2 linked regions of the Arabidopsis thaliana genome follow. The protein of the gene in region 1 interacts with the protein of each later gene in a biochemical or structural test. Each region holds a gene or a part of one and is shown in the gene's direction. Other genes may lie near its edges.

Region 1 (4,535 bases):
TTACGGATACGTATAATCCGAATTATAATTTGATTTTAATTTATAATGGTGGGATACATACCTTCATCTTTGTTGCCTCGTTCCAGCTTGCATTTCTCCGTAGTAACATGTTGCAGATGATTCCTTCCTAAAGGTTTTGATTGGTATTTTATATTTCGCGCGGCCCAATTGTCACATACATTTTGATTATATCCGCATAATAAATGTTGTTAGCAAACAAATGAGGATTAATATTGAAAATTGTCCCTAGATCAAAAATTTATTACTGAAATCATACCTTTCTTTGCATATACCACATAAAATGCCAATGAATCAAAATTCATCACAAGAAGCAATCATCACTAGTAGCTGATGTGTATATGTAGACGTCTCTTTAGGGTTTTTACAACAATCTCCATGGAATTTTCGATCAACATGTTTTATTAAATCATATTGATTTTTTATTATTTTATGTTTTAAGGTAAATAAGAAATTGTTTATTTTCTTCTTTGTAAACTATTGTCGGATCATATATTTATGTGATGTAGAAGCCATGTTATCGTGTACAATGCGTGTTAAAACTTAAAATTGTGAAACTTTTGTATGTAATAATGATTGATTGACTAATTGATTTTAAAAGATAGAAAATATATAAATTATGGGTCCACATGGTAATTTTATAAAGAAAAAATCCCGGATTTTTTCTATTTAATCGAGAAATATAGATAATGATATACAAAAATTGGTGATTTTTTGTGAAATGTCAGTTGACTAGAAATTTGAAACAATTCTTATCAATGTATTTTTAAAAATATCATGTTTAATATGTAAGTTTAATATTCATTAGTGTGCATAATGTAAGAATAATTACTAATTTACATAAATATTTTCTCTTATATGTGAAAGTATTTAACTACTGATTTATTGATATACAATGAAAAAGTATGGGCTATTAACTTTATATGATTTCAATAATTTTTATGATTAATATATTTGATAAAAATGATAAATAATAAATCATTATTTTAAAAGAAACATGTATATCCAACAAAAAAAGCCGTGTGTAATACGCGTTGGTTCAAAGGGTAATTTAACTATGGAAAATAGTCCTAGATTTATTTTTGTTAAATTGAGAAATAAAAATCATTATATACCAAAATTGTAAACTTAGCAATTTTTTGGTGCAATTTCCGTTGACTCGATTTTTTGGAAAAAGTCTGTCAATTTCAAAGAAAAAATATTATGTTTAAATACTTAAGTTGAATATTTATTCGTGTGCATAATAATAATTTATTTTTCGTATAAACATTTTTTATTCTATGTGAATGTATGTAACTAGTTGTTTGTTGTTACATGTTAAAAGTATGTACTATTAAGTTTATATGGTTTCAATAAAAAAAATTCAATACTTTTTATGATGAAATTATTTGATAAAATTTAAATAAATGAAAATTGTTTTTTTAACAACAAACCGATCATATTAATGAGAATTTATTTTAAAATAGAAAAGCCGTATGCAATACACGTTATATTTAATAGAAAATTCGTAGTCAAATGATGAATTTAATTAGCAGTTTAATTTTTAAGAAGTTAAAGATTTAGTCAAATGATGAATTTAAATTTATTCGACAACAAAAATTATCAATAAATCAAAAATGTAAAACTGACGATTATTCTATGAAAAGTGAAAACACAACGGAAAATACAAATAATAATGATGAGTTTGGGGTTTTATTTAAAAATAATAATAATAATAATATTGTTTTTGACAATTAGATAAAAAAGGTAAACTTTTTTTTTCTTCTCCTTTGTTTTATTTTAACCCCACAAAACTCGAAAACCTTTTTCCCATTTTCTCACTTTCCCTCTTCTTCTCCTCCCTCAAAGCTTTTCCCTCTCATTTTTCTCTTTCCGCTTTCAAGCTTCTTTTCCCTCTCTCAAAAAATGGGGAAATACATGAAGAAATCAAAGATAACTGGCGATATCAGCGTCATGGAAGTCTCTAAAGCAACAGCTCCAAGTCCAGGTGTTCGAACCAGAGCCGCTAAAACCCTAGCCTTGAAGCGGCTTAATTCCTCCGCCGCTGATTCAGCTCTACCTAACGACTCTTCTTGCTATCTTCAGCTCCGTAGCCGCCGTCTCGAGAAACCCTCTTCGCTGATTGAACCGAAACAGCCGCCGAGAGTTCACAGATCGGGAATTAAAGAGTCTGGTTCCAGGTCTCGCGTTGACTCGGTTAACTCGGTTCCTGTAGCTCAGAGCTCTAATGAAGATGAATGTTTTGACAATTTCGTGAGTGTCCAAGTTTCTTGTGGTGAAAACAGTCTCGGTTTTGAATCAAGACACAGGTTCGTTGTTTTTTTTTTTTTTTTTTTGTGCCCTAATGTTTTCTTATTACCAATTCGACTTTTGTGTTCTGTCTTATCCAATAATCTTAGTTTTGAGTCTTACATAGTTTTGAATCTTAGTTAGGTTTCTCTGAAACTTTTGTTGTTTGCTTCAAATCAATTTTTTTTTTTTTGGGGGATGAAAATAGTTTAGTACAAGAGAAAAATAGGTTTTTTATGTTTCCCTTATTGGTTTGGTTTTTGTTTATGAATTGACTCTCTTGTGATGTACTGAATTTTGTTATTACTACTTCTCCGTATAAGTCTCTTTTGGTGTTAGATTTACATTATATCTGATTTATTGCTGTATGTCCCATGTGTACTTCATTGCAGAGATTATCAATGAATGTGTCAAAGCTATTTTCGTTTTATATATGTATTTCATTATTTGTTACAAATTTGGTGAAACTCTGATCTGTTTTTGTGTATTTTAATTTGTTTAAGAACATGTTGATTCTCCTTGTTATTAGGCTAATGGCATAAGAAGTATTTGTACATTGGGTATACAATATTGGGATTTGGTTATTGGGGGTTTACTTAAACACATGGTTTTCGTTTTTACAAAAGTGGGTTGTTGTATAAAGGTCAGAAACTTTTAATATGTAAGATTATATGAGAATTGGGACTTTCCTCATAAGTGTAATGCAAGTACTGTGGTGTCATGTTCATGGGACCTAGTGGTTTTTGCATACTTGGGGAATACTTTTGTAGGATCCTCTGTTTTTTGGGGTAACCGTCCTGCTGCTAGTTGACAATGTGGTGATTGCCTTCTCTTTGTTATTTATTATCTTATGGGACCATATTACTTAGAAAGTCTCTAGCTTTTGTTGTTTACTTAAACCAAGCCTCTTTTTTATTCTGGATGTTTGGTTTTGGTTTGATTCTTGATTTGGTTAAGTGTCTTTGTGGTGATAATGTTATTGAAGTTATTTTATCTGTGTTTTTTTCTGCAGCACAAGGGAGAGCACGCCTTGTAACTTTGTTGAGGATATGGAGATCATGGTTACACCAGGGTCTAGCACGAGGTCGATGTGCAGAGCAACCAAAGAGTACACAAGGGAACAAGATAACGTGATCCCGACCACTAGTGAAATGGAGGAGTTCTTTGCATATGCAGAGCAGCAGCAACAGAGGCTATTCATGGAGAAGTAAGCTTATTCTTTATTTTATTTTTGTGTCATTACGAAGAGGGTGAACAACACTCATGTGTTTTCAATAATCTTCAGGTACAACTTCGACATTGTGAATGATATCCCCCTCAGCGGACGTTACGAATGGGTGCAAGTCAAACCATGAAGTTCAAAAGGAAACAGCTCCAAAAGACATGGTGTGAAGTTAGAGAATGTGATGGAGTTAACAGACTAACCAAACATCAGAAATCGTGTAATCTTAAGTAATAATGTGGTTAGAGAACAAGTTTGAGAGTAGCTTAGGGACCTTAAAACCTCACACCATTTGTACTACTAATCTTCTTCAGATGCTTAGTGAAATTTTCTCATCTGTTTCTTTCAAGTGTTTGTTTTTCTATCTATCTCTCATGTTTATTCAAAGCTATATGTAATGATGATGATTGAGAGGGATGTGTGTGAACATGTTTAAGCTTGGCATATAGTGAAAAAAATGATTCAGATGCAGAAGAAAGAGACCCAATTGAGAGGTTCACGTGTGAATTTTGGTAGGTGTAAAAATCTGAATCATATCCTTTTTCTTTCAACTATACAAGATTGGTCCCTTTTCTTCTCTTACCATAATTATGACGCACGTGAATGTGTGTGTAAATACTTTGACGTTTACATTGAAATACTGTAATGTAAGTTCAGAGTTAAAAGTACAAACACAAAGGTGAATTTTGTACTAATTAGTAAAGAGATAAGAGTGTTTTGAATCTTGAATATCAAATTATTATTAACAAGAAACTGACAAAAAGATGAGACAGTGTTCATTGAGAAGATCTCTGTTGTTTTATCTTTTTTTTTACATTTCTTGGAAATTGGCAAAACCAGTGTGATGAAACTGTGAAATCTTATCTCGAACCCAATCATTGTTCTATGTTTTTCTTTAATCTCTAAAAGTGAAAAAGTGAATGCATGAAACGTTCAGATACATTCATTATATTATACATTTATACATATGGACATGGTGTACGTATGTACACGGGTGCTTGTTTGA
Region 2 (7,748 bases), on another chromosome or scaffold:
AACGCTACATTGAACACCAAATCTCTTTGTTTTCTTCCCACTAAAACAATGAAAATAGTACCAAACATTGAAAATCATCTACTCAAATTAAGAGGCAAATCATATCACTAGCTTTTAATCAAAAGTAAAAGCATAATCTTACCATTATCATTATCATCATGATTATATTCCATACATATTTTTGTTAATCACTACACCAAAACTATGCATTTTAGTATAGTTAGAACAGGGAAATCGTCCATAGAGCTGAGGTTTGGCACATTTGAAAATCTTTATGTTTTGTAGCATTTTTACTAAGTTTTGCTACATTGAATGACAAGTTCAACCAAAAATATTTACCAAAAAAAAAAAAACAAGTTGCTGTTCAACCAAATTCCCAAAAGTAAAAGTGGCAACGGTTGCAAAATTATTCCATCACACGGAAACGCAGCGTTTTAATATTTCCCTTGAAGACAATATAATGCCGTCTTAAGTCACTATCTGAATAACAGAGACATCAGCCAGTGAAGTGGCTGTTGATCAACGTGGAACACGTGCACGATACTTCTTTTATTAGTCATTAGCCGACAGTGGTCTCATAGCTTTCCACGTGGTGTGTTTAGAGATCGAGTTGATATTTTCAATTATTTATACTCTCAGGTCGTTGACAAGGTCGTGTGTCTATCGGAAGTTTGCAAAAGCTCCGGTGACTTGTCAACAACTGCTCCGTCACGTTCCGTCGATTTCAATCGTCTTTACATCCACTTGAATAGTTTTCGTGCATACATTATAGTAACACTCTTCTTTAATTTGCATAATGTATTAAGAATATACGAATGGCTTTTGACAATTGATTTACAAATAAAGTTTTCTAATTAAGTCAACTCCAGATTATTATTAGTTCTTGTCAACGAATGATACCAGTATTATAATTGTTTGTGAAACCCGTTATGATTATAGAATCTACAAATAGGAAACTTACATCTAAATTTTTCTTTACCAAGGAAACCTGATAACTAGATTCATATTTTTTTTTTTGTCATAAGATATTATTAAGGACTTAAAAAAAATAATTCCGAGAGAAATTATTTACAAAAGTGATATATAACTTAAATTTACATTTCTTTTTAGATTAATCATAATTATATCATATTTTAGATCCACTTAAATAAAATACAGTAAATACGCTATTCGACAACTGTAATCACATTCGAAAATTTCACGGGTAGTCGAAACCAAATCATCTTTGATAATAAACAATAATATTTTTTTTTTTTAAACTAAAAATAATAACTATTTAAAAGCGATAAACAAAACTAATTTTTTTTAACAATGTTTTTAGCAAAAATTTTACACGAAAATCTCATAATACTAACACTAAAATGAAAAAAAAAAGAATATTCAAACAATACCATATTATTTTTGTGATTTTTTCTTTAGTTAGTGGTGATACTAACATTCTTTTAACTTTACCTTTAAATTGCTAAGTTTTACAGCACCTTTTTTTTTGTTATTTTTGATTAATCCAAATAACAGGAAATATCTTCAGTAAAACAAATCTCATAATGTTAACACTAAAAAAGAAAACAGAAGGAGAAAAATTAAAAAGCGTTGTTTACTTTTTGTAATTTTGTAATTTGATTTAAGAACACGTTAACATCTACTACGCCACGTGTCAAAATAAACGTAAGACCGTCCGCATCGTAAACTTTCCTCCTTCTCCTTCTATAAAAGTTACCAGACCAGACCGTCGATATAATACGTCATCAGCCACGTCATCGACACCGACACGTGTCGGTAAAAAACCCACACGCCACATGATCCATTGGCTCGTTCGGTGTTAGCCACCGGTCTTCTGATTCCTCTCTCTCTCTTTCTTCAATTCTTCTTCTCTGTTCCCCCAAAAATATTGGGCGCAAAATCTCTCTCTCTCTCTCTCTTCGAGGAAGAAGAAGAAAAAAAAAGAAGCGAAAAGTCTTCTCCTGTTTAATTTATTTGAAAAACCCTAGCACAAGTCCGCCGTCTTTGGTTTGAAGAATCTGGGTATTGATTGATTTTGGCTTCTGGGTTAATCGCTTTTCATGTCAATTTCTCCGGTGAGTTTCGAATTTTCCGTTCTGATTTTGGTGTTTTTTTCTTTCTAATTGATTGAAATTGAATAGCTTTCTCTTTTTGTTAATCCCTGTTCATCACATAAATTTGAAAGCTTTTTGATTCAAGTATTGATTTTTGGAAACTTATGCTACTTTTTTTTTTGTTCTTCTTCTCTTCACAGCTTTTCTGAATCATTTTCGAATTGTCTCTGATGAGGTCTCGTTGAATAGATACAGACTTTGGTTCTCTTGTAATTGGTTGTGTTGAAAGCGCGTTTGGTTCACAATCAATGCCATATGGCTGAAGACAGCCTACGGGTTGGTATGATTTCATCTGGTTTGGCTGTTTTACTGAATGGTGAAGATGCTAAAGAAAATTCCTCGAAAGCTCGTATTGTTCCACATTTTGATTATTCTGGTCACCGGCCTTTAGAACGGACTATCGAATTCATATTTGGTTTAGCAGAAAAGTCGGTTGGTCCATTGGATGGTCAAGTAGACAGTAGCTTGATTAGAGCTGTGATTAAGAATCAGTTCTCGAAGCTTCATGGTGATTTGGATGTTTCAGTTAGTCAGAGAGAAGGAATCAGTGTAGTTCATCATGGTGTTGGACCTCCTATTGTTGGCCTTGAAGAGTTTAGCATATGTGGTGATATCAGGATTGTGAAGCCACCTCTTGTATTGGAGAGCTTAGCACTTTTCAGTAGCGCCAGGGCTAATGCTTGTATTTGGAAAGGAAAATGGATGTATGAAGTCGCTTTAGAGACCTCGGGAATTCAACAACTTGGATGGGCAACACTTGCTTGCCCTTTCACTGACCAGAAAGGTGTGGGTGATGCTGATGATTCATATGCTTTTGATGGTCGAAGGGTAAGCAAATGGAACAAGGAAGCTGAACCTTATGGTCAATCATGGGTTGCTGGGGATGTCATCGGTTGCTGCATAGATTTGAACTGTGATGAGATTTACTTCTACAGGAATGGTGTCTCCCTCGGGGCTGCATTTACTGGTATTAGAAAACTTGGACCTGGATTTGGGTATTACCCTGCTATATCTCTCTCCCAAGGTGAGAGATGCGAGTTAAATTTCGGCGCTTACCCGTTTAAGTACCCTGTTGACGGTTTCCAACCTCTTCAAGAAGCTCCAACTCGATTTTCATTTGCAACAGAGCTACTACGATGCTTCTCAAGACTGCTGGATAGGCCAGACCGCTCATTGGCTGATACATTAAGTCGACTGAGGAGATTTGCCTCAGTCGAAGAACTCTTTTGCCCTGTTTCGTCTGCCATATGTGATGAGTTCTTTTATATACTTGAGCAAGACCCTTTGTTGGCGGAGTACTTAGGACGGGGTGCATTTCTGTCATTCCTCTTGGAGACTTTCAGAACTCAAGCACCGCATGATTCGTCAAGTTTAGACAAAGTTCTTGATGTGTTTCTTGAGTTCCCACAATCTCATTTGATCTTTGAGCATGTAGTAAACGCTCTGGCTTGTGGCTGCAAAACAGCGACACTGATTTTAACCGAGTGTCCATACTCCGGACCTTATCCCTATCTGGCGCTGGCTTGTCATTTGTTTAAACGGGAAGAATTGATGGTACAATGGTGGAGATCTTTGCATTTCGAGTTTTTGTTTGAAGGTTTCTTGTCATGCAGGAGTTCCAACAAGCATGACTTACAGCACTTAATGCCTGTTGTTTGGTGGCCTGGATCCTCTGAAGATATATCCTACGAGAGTAGCATGGGATTTACGATCTCCGCTCTCTCTGAAGCCATTAACAAGGTATGATAGGTTATTTCTGACTTATTTTATTTTTCTATAAATAACCGCTGGCATAAGTCTCCTCTGGAATCTGAGGAACATAATTAAGTAATTCTTTCTCTTGGAATTCAGATTGAGGAGAAGCAGAGGAACCTCTGTCTCTTGGTCATACAATTCATACCACCTGTATCACCTCCCCAGCTTCCTGGTTCAGCTTTCAGGGGATTCCTACAGAACCTTTTATTGAAGAACAGAGGCGCAGATAGGACTCTGGCCCCTTCTGGAGTTACACGCAATTCGGTTCTTGTCTCTTTGTTCTCAGTTATACTCCACTTCTTGTCAGAAGGTTTTGCAATGCTGAAGAGTAGTGAAGCCGTCCATCACAATGTTGGTTTTCTTCACAGAGGTGGTCAGCAGAAGTTTCCATTGAGTTTGTTTCTTAAAAATGATCCACATCGCGCTGATATTACTAGGCTTGGCGGGCTATTTAGTCATATATCGAAGTCCTACCCCACAGATGATCAAGAAGAAGAAATAATGCGGTGGGAAGAAGGTTGTATGGATGATGAACAGAATAGAGTAACTCACGCGACTGAGCAAAAGCCATGCTGTTGCTTAGCTTATGATACCGATCTTACTAAATCCTTGAAGGATCGAGGAAAAAATACTGCTCAAAGTTCTCGTGGTCGATGCAGTTCCATTCCTGAGAGATCCTCTCATGTTGCTGCAGAATGTAGTGCTGGAAGTTTCAGTGAAGAAATAGACGACAAACCTAGCACAAGTAATCAGTCTGACCCTGACTTTGGTTATCGTCCAGTAAGATTTATGCGGACTGCACTTCAAGAGAGTAGAATCTCATCTGCTATACTAAGCGAAGAAGAACTATTGGATGCTCTATTGCTATTATACCATATTGCTGTTGCTCCAAATTTTAAGCAGGTAATTTTAATTATTCCCGTCTTAATTAGATTTTGTTGTATTTTTTGTACGATACATACCACAACCTGAATAAGCTTGAGAGGCTGATAGGTTCTCTTTCTGCTTTTCTTAGGCATCATATTACATGTCTCACCAATCGCAATCAATATCACTTCTTGAAGAAACTGATAAACAGATAAGAGAACGGGCTTCTTGTGACCAAATAAAGCGCTTGAAGGAAGCTCGCAACAACTACAAAGAAGACGTGATGGACTGTGTTAGACATTCCGCATGGTAAGTTTCACTTAACTCATGGATTGCGTTAACTCCAGAAGGAGGGTGTAGTGAAGAGGTTTCAGTTATGATTCATGTGAGGCAACATTACAATCTATATTTTTGCCCTCATTCTGAATCATTTTGTCAGGTTCCGCATCTCATTGTTCTCTCGATGGAAGCAAAGGGGAATGTATGCATTGTGCATGTGGGTTGTACAGCTACTTCTGGTTCTCAGCAAAATGGATTCTGTGTTTGTTTATATTCCAGAGTTCTACCTTGAATCTTTGGTAAACAGCTTTTGCACATTTCTGGTACTTCTTGATATAAATGTCAAATGAACATGTTTCAGTTTCTCTTTGATCAAAGTTAGTAGATCTTCCAACAACTTATTCTGTTGCGTTTTCTCTGTTTCTCAATGAAATCCCTAAGTTTACAATCTCTTTGATTATTTCCTCAGGTAGACTGTTTCCATGTGCTTCGCAAGAGCGATCCTCCGTTTGTCCCATCAACAACATTCATCAAACAAGGACTTTCATCATTTGTATGCCTAAACTCTTATCACACAATCTTTTTTGTCTGTTATTTTTCCTCATGGCTGACTGTTAGTTGATTAGCTCTAACATGGTCATTGCAAATTCTTGGGTTTCCAGATCACTTTCGTAGTTACACACTTCAACGATTCAAGGATATCGAATACAGATCTTAAAGATCTACTTCTCCAGTCAATATCCGTCCTGGTACAGTACAAAGAGTACTTGGAAGCTTTCGAGAACAATGAGGCAGCTACTCGACACATGCCTGCAGCACTACTGGCAGCGTTTGACAACAGATCTTGGATCCCTGTCACAAATATATTTCTTCGTCTTTGCAAAGGTTCTGGGTTTAGTTCTTTAAAGAACGGAGAGTCTTCGTTTTCGTCTACTGTTTTCCAGGTTGGTTAGATTGATTTGACTTTGTTCCTATCTGATCCTCAGTCTACATATTGGATTTTGATTTTCTTTTTCGTCTAGGCGCTTCTACGAGATGCTTGTATCAATGATGGTGAATTACTTTCTACTTTTCTTAACCGTCTATTCAACACACTGAGCTGGACCATCACTGAATTTTCTGTCTCGGTGCGAGAAATGCAAGAAAAGTATCAGGTCAGATTATAAGCTTGGATCATTTTCATCGATTAAGTTTTCGTAGTAATTGAATAGTTTTCCCTGAATGATTGTGGTTCTTATTCTGCATTTCCCTTACAAGTTTTTGTAGTACTCTATTTGCTTCTTTGTCCGGTTTTTGATTCGTCTTGTCTTTATGCAGGTAATGGAGTTTCAGCAAAGGAAATGTTGTGTGATATTTGAGCTTTCAAGCAATCTCGCAAGGGTCTTAGAATTCTGCACTTACGCAATGCCACAAGCATTTCTTGCTGGGACTGACACGAATCTTCGTAGGCTCACTGAGTTGATTCTTTTCATCTTGAATCACATGACCTCAGCAGTAGATGACGAGTTCTTTGATCTGTAAGTTCAAAAATATCCCAAATAGCTCTAACTTTGTTGGAAATCGCTAATTTTTAATTGATATTGTTTTCTTCTTGTTTTGAGATCTGTCAGGTCACTTAGACGGCAGGGACAACCTTCAGAGAAAGTTAGCCGAGGGATCTTATTAGCTCCTTTGGTTGGTATAATCTTGAATCTCTTGGAGGCTAGTGAAGACTCAAAACCAAAGCAACAACATGATGTAATTGGTCTTTTCGCAAGCATGGACTGTCCCGATACAGTCTATTACGGGTTTCAGTATCTCTTGGAATATAATTGGGTACGTAAGCTCTTAAATCTAGTTTCTGCTCGTTTGCTTCTCCTACTGACACAGCTTTTCAAAAACATTTTCAGGACGGTTGTGTAAGCGGGGATGATGCCTATGTAAAGAAACTTGGACAGCTTGAGAACTTCTTGAGCCATCTCATAAACCGGGCTTCATCGCAAGAACCCGAAAGAAAAGAAGAGTCATTCAACAAAGACACGACAGATATAGAAGACAACACTTGCTGTATCTGCTACGCGGGGGAGGCTAATGCAATGATTGCTCCGTGTTCACATCGATCATGTTATGGCTGCATAACTAGACATCTTCTCAACTGTCAGAGATGTTTTTTCTGCAATGCTACGGTGATAGATGTTATAAGAGATAAAGAAGAAGAAGAAGAAGAAGACGATGATGGTCACAAAAGAAGCACATGAAGCTCGGGTTAGTTGCGGTTACAGGTTGTTGATGTAGTAGACACAGAAGGAAAGATCTTTAGGATGGGAGCAAAGGAAGAAGGATTATATAGATTTATAGGATAAATAAGAAAAAACACAAACAAACAAAGGTCTGTGATAATTTTGTAGACCTGGTCTTGTGATCTCTAGGCCTCTCTTTTTTCTTGTATATATGAGAATGAAATGGAAATTATTTAAAGGCTCTCTGTTTCGCTTGGGTTCTTACTTTTCTCAACAGTGTGTTTTGGAATTACAGCGGATTTGGTGGGTTAAACCAGTAAATCGGTTACCCGGTTCGTAATTAGGTTCACTTACACTTGTTTTTTTGTTCACTTAATACTCTCAAAATCCAAATTTATAGGATCTCATTAAACTAAAAAAATCTGATAAAATTTTGGTTCAATAAGTTTTATTTGTTGTATTTTATTTAATTTTCTCAAATTTCTTTGCATAATGTATGTTTATGTAGTTTATT

The links. Proteins that work in one complex are often made in the same cells at the same time.
Region 2: the proteins of ICK6 (region 1) and RKP form a complex in vitro, tested with the Arabidopsis thaliana proteins (one study listed by BioGRID).

The regions. Positions count from the first base shown.
Region 1 is NC_003076.8:19,791,735-19,796,269, reverse strand, and holds ICK6 (inhibitor/interactor with cyclin-dependent kinase), read left to right. Parts: upstream 1-1,861; 5' UTR 1,862-1,923; coding exon 1,924-2,354; intron 2,355-2,536; coding exon 2,537-2,563; intron 2,564-3,319; coding exon 3,320-3,514; intron 3,515-3,592; coding exon 3,593-3,662; 3' UTR 3,663-4,000; downstream 4,001-4,535. UniProt on the Arabidopsis thaliana protein: Binds and inhibits CYCD2-1/CDKA-1 complex kinase activity. May target specifically CDKA-1.
Region 2 is NC_003071.7:9,363,450-9,371,197, reverse strand, and holds the start of RKP (uncharacterized protein), read left to right. Parts: upstream 1-1,736; 5' UTR 1,737-2,075; intron 2,076-2,254; 5' UTR 2,255-2,369; coding exon 2,370-3,854; intron 3,855-3,965; coding exon 3,966-4,772; intron 4,773-4,884; coding exon 4,885-5,045; intron 5,046-5,175; coding exon 5,176-5,314; intron 5,315-5,484; coding exon 5,485-5,568; intron 5,569-5,677; coding exon 5,678-5,959; intron 5,960-6,037; coding exon 6,038-6,169; intron 6,170-6,332; coding exon 6,333-6,532; intron 6,533-6,616; coding exon 6,617-6,830; intron 6,831-6,904; coding exon 6,905-7,252; 3' UTR 7,253-7,748. UniProt on the Arabidopsis thaliana protein: E3 ubiquitin-protein ligase that promotes the ubiquitination and proteasomal degradation of KRP1 and KRP2.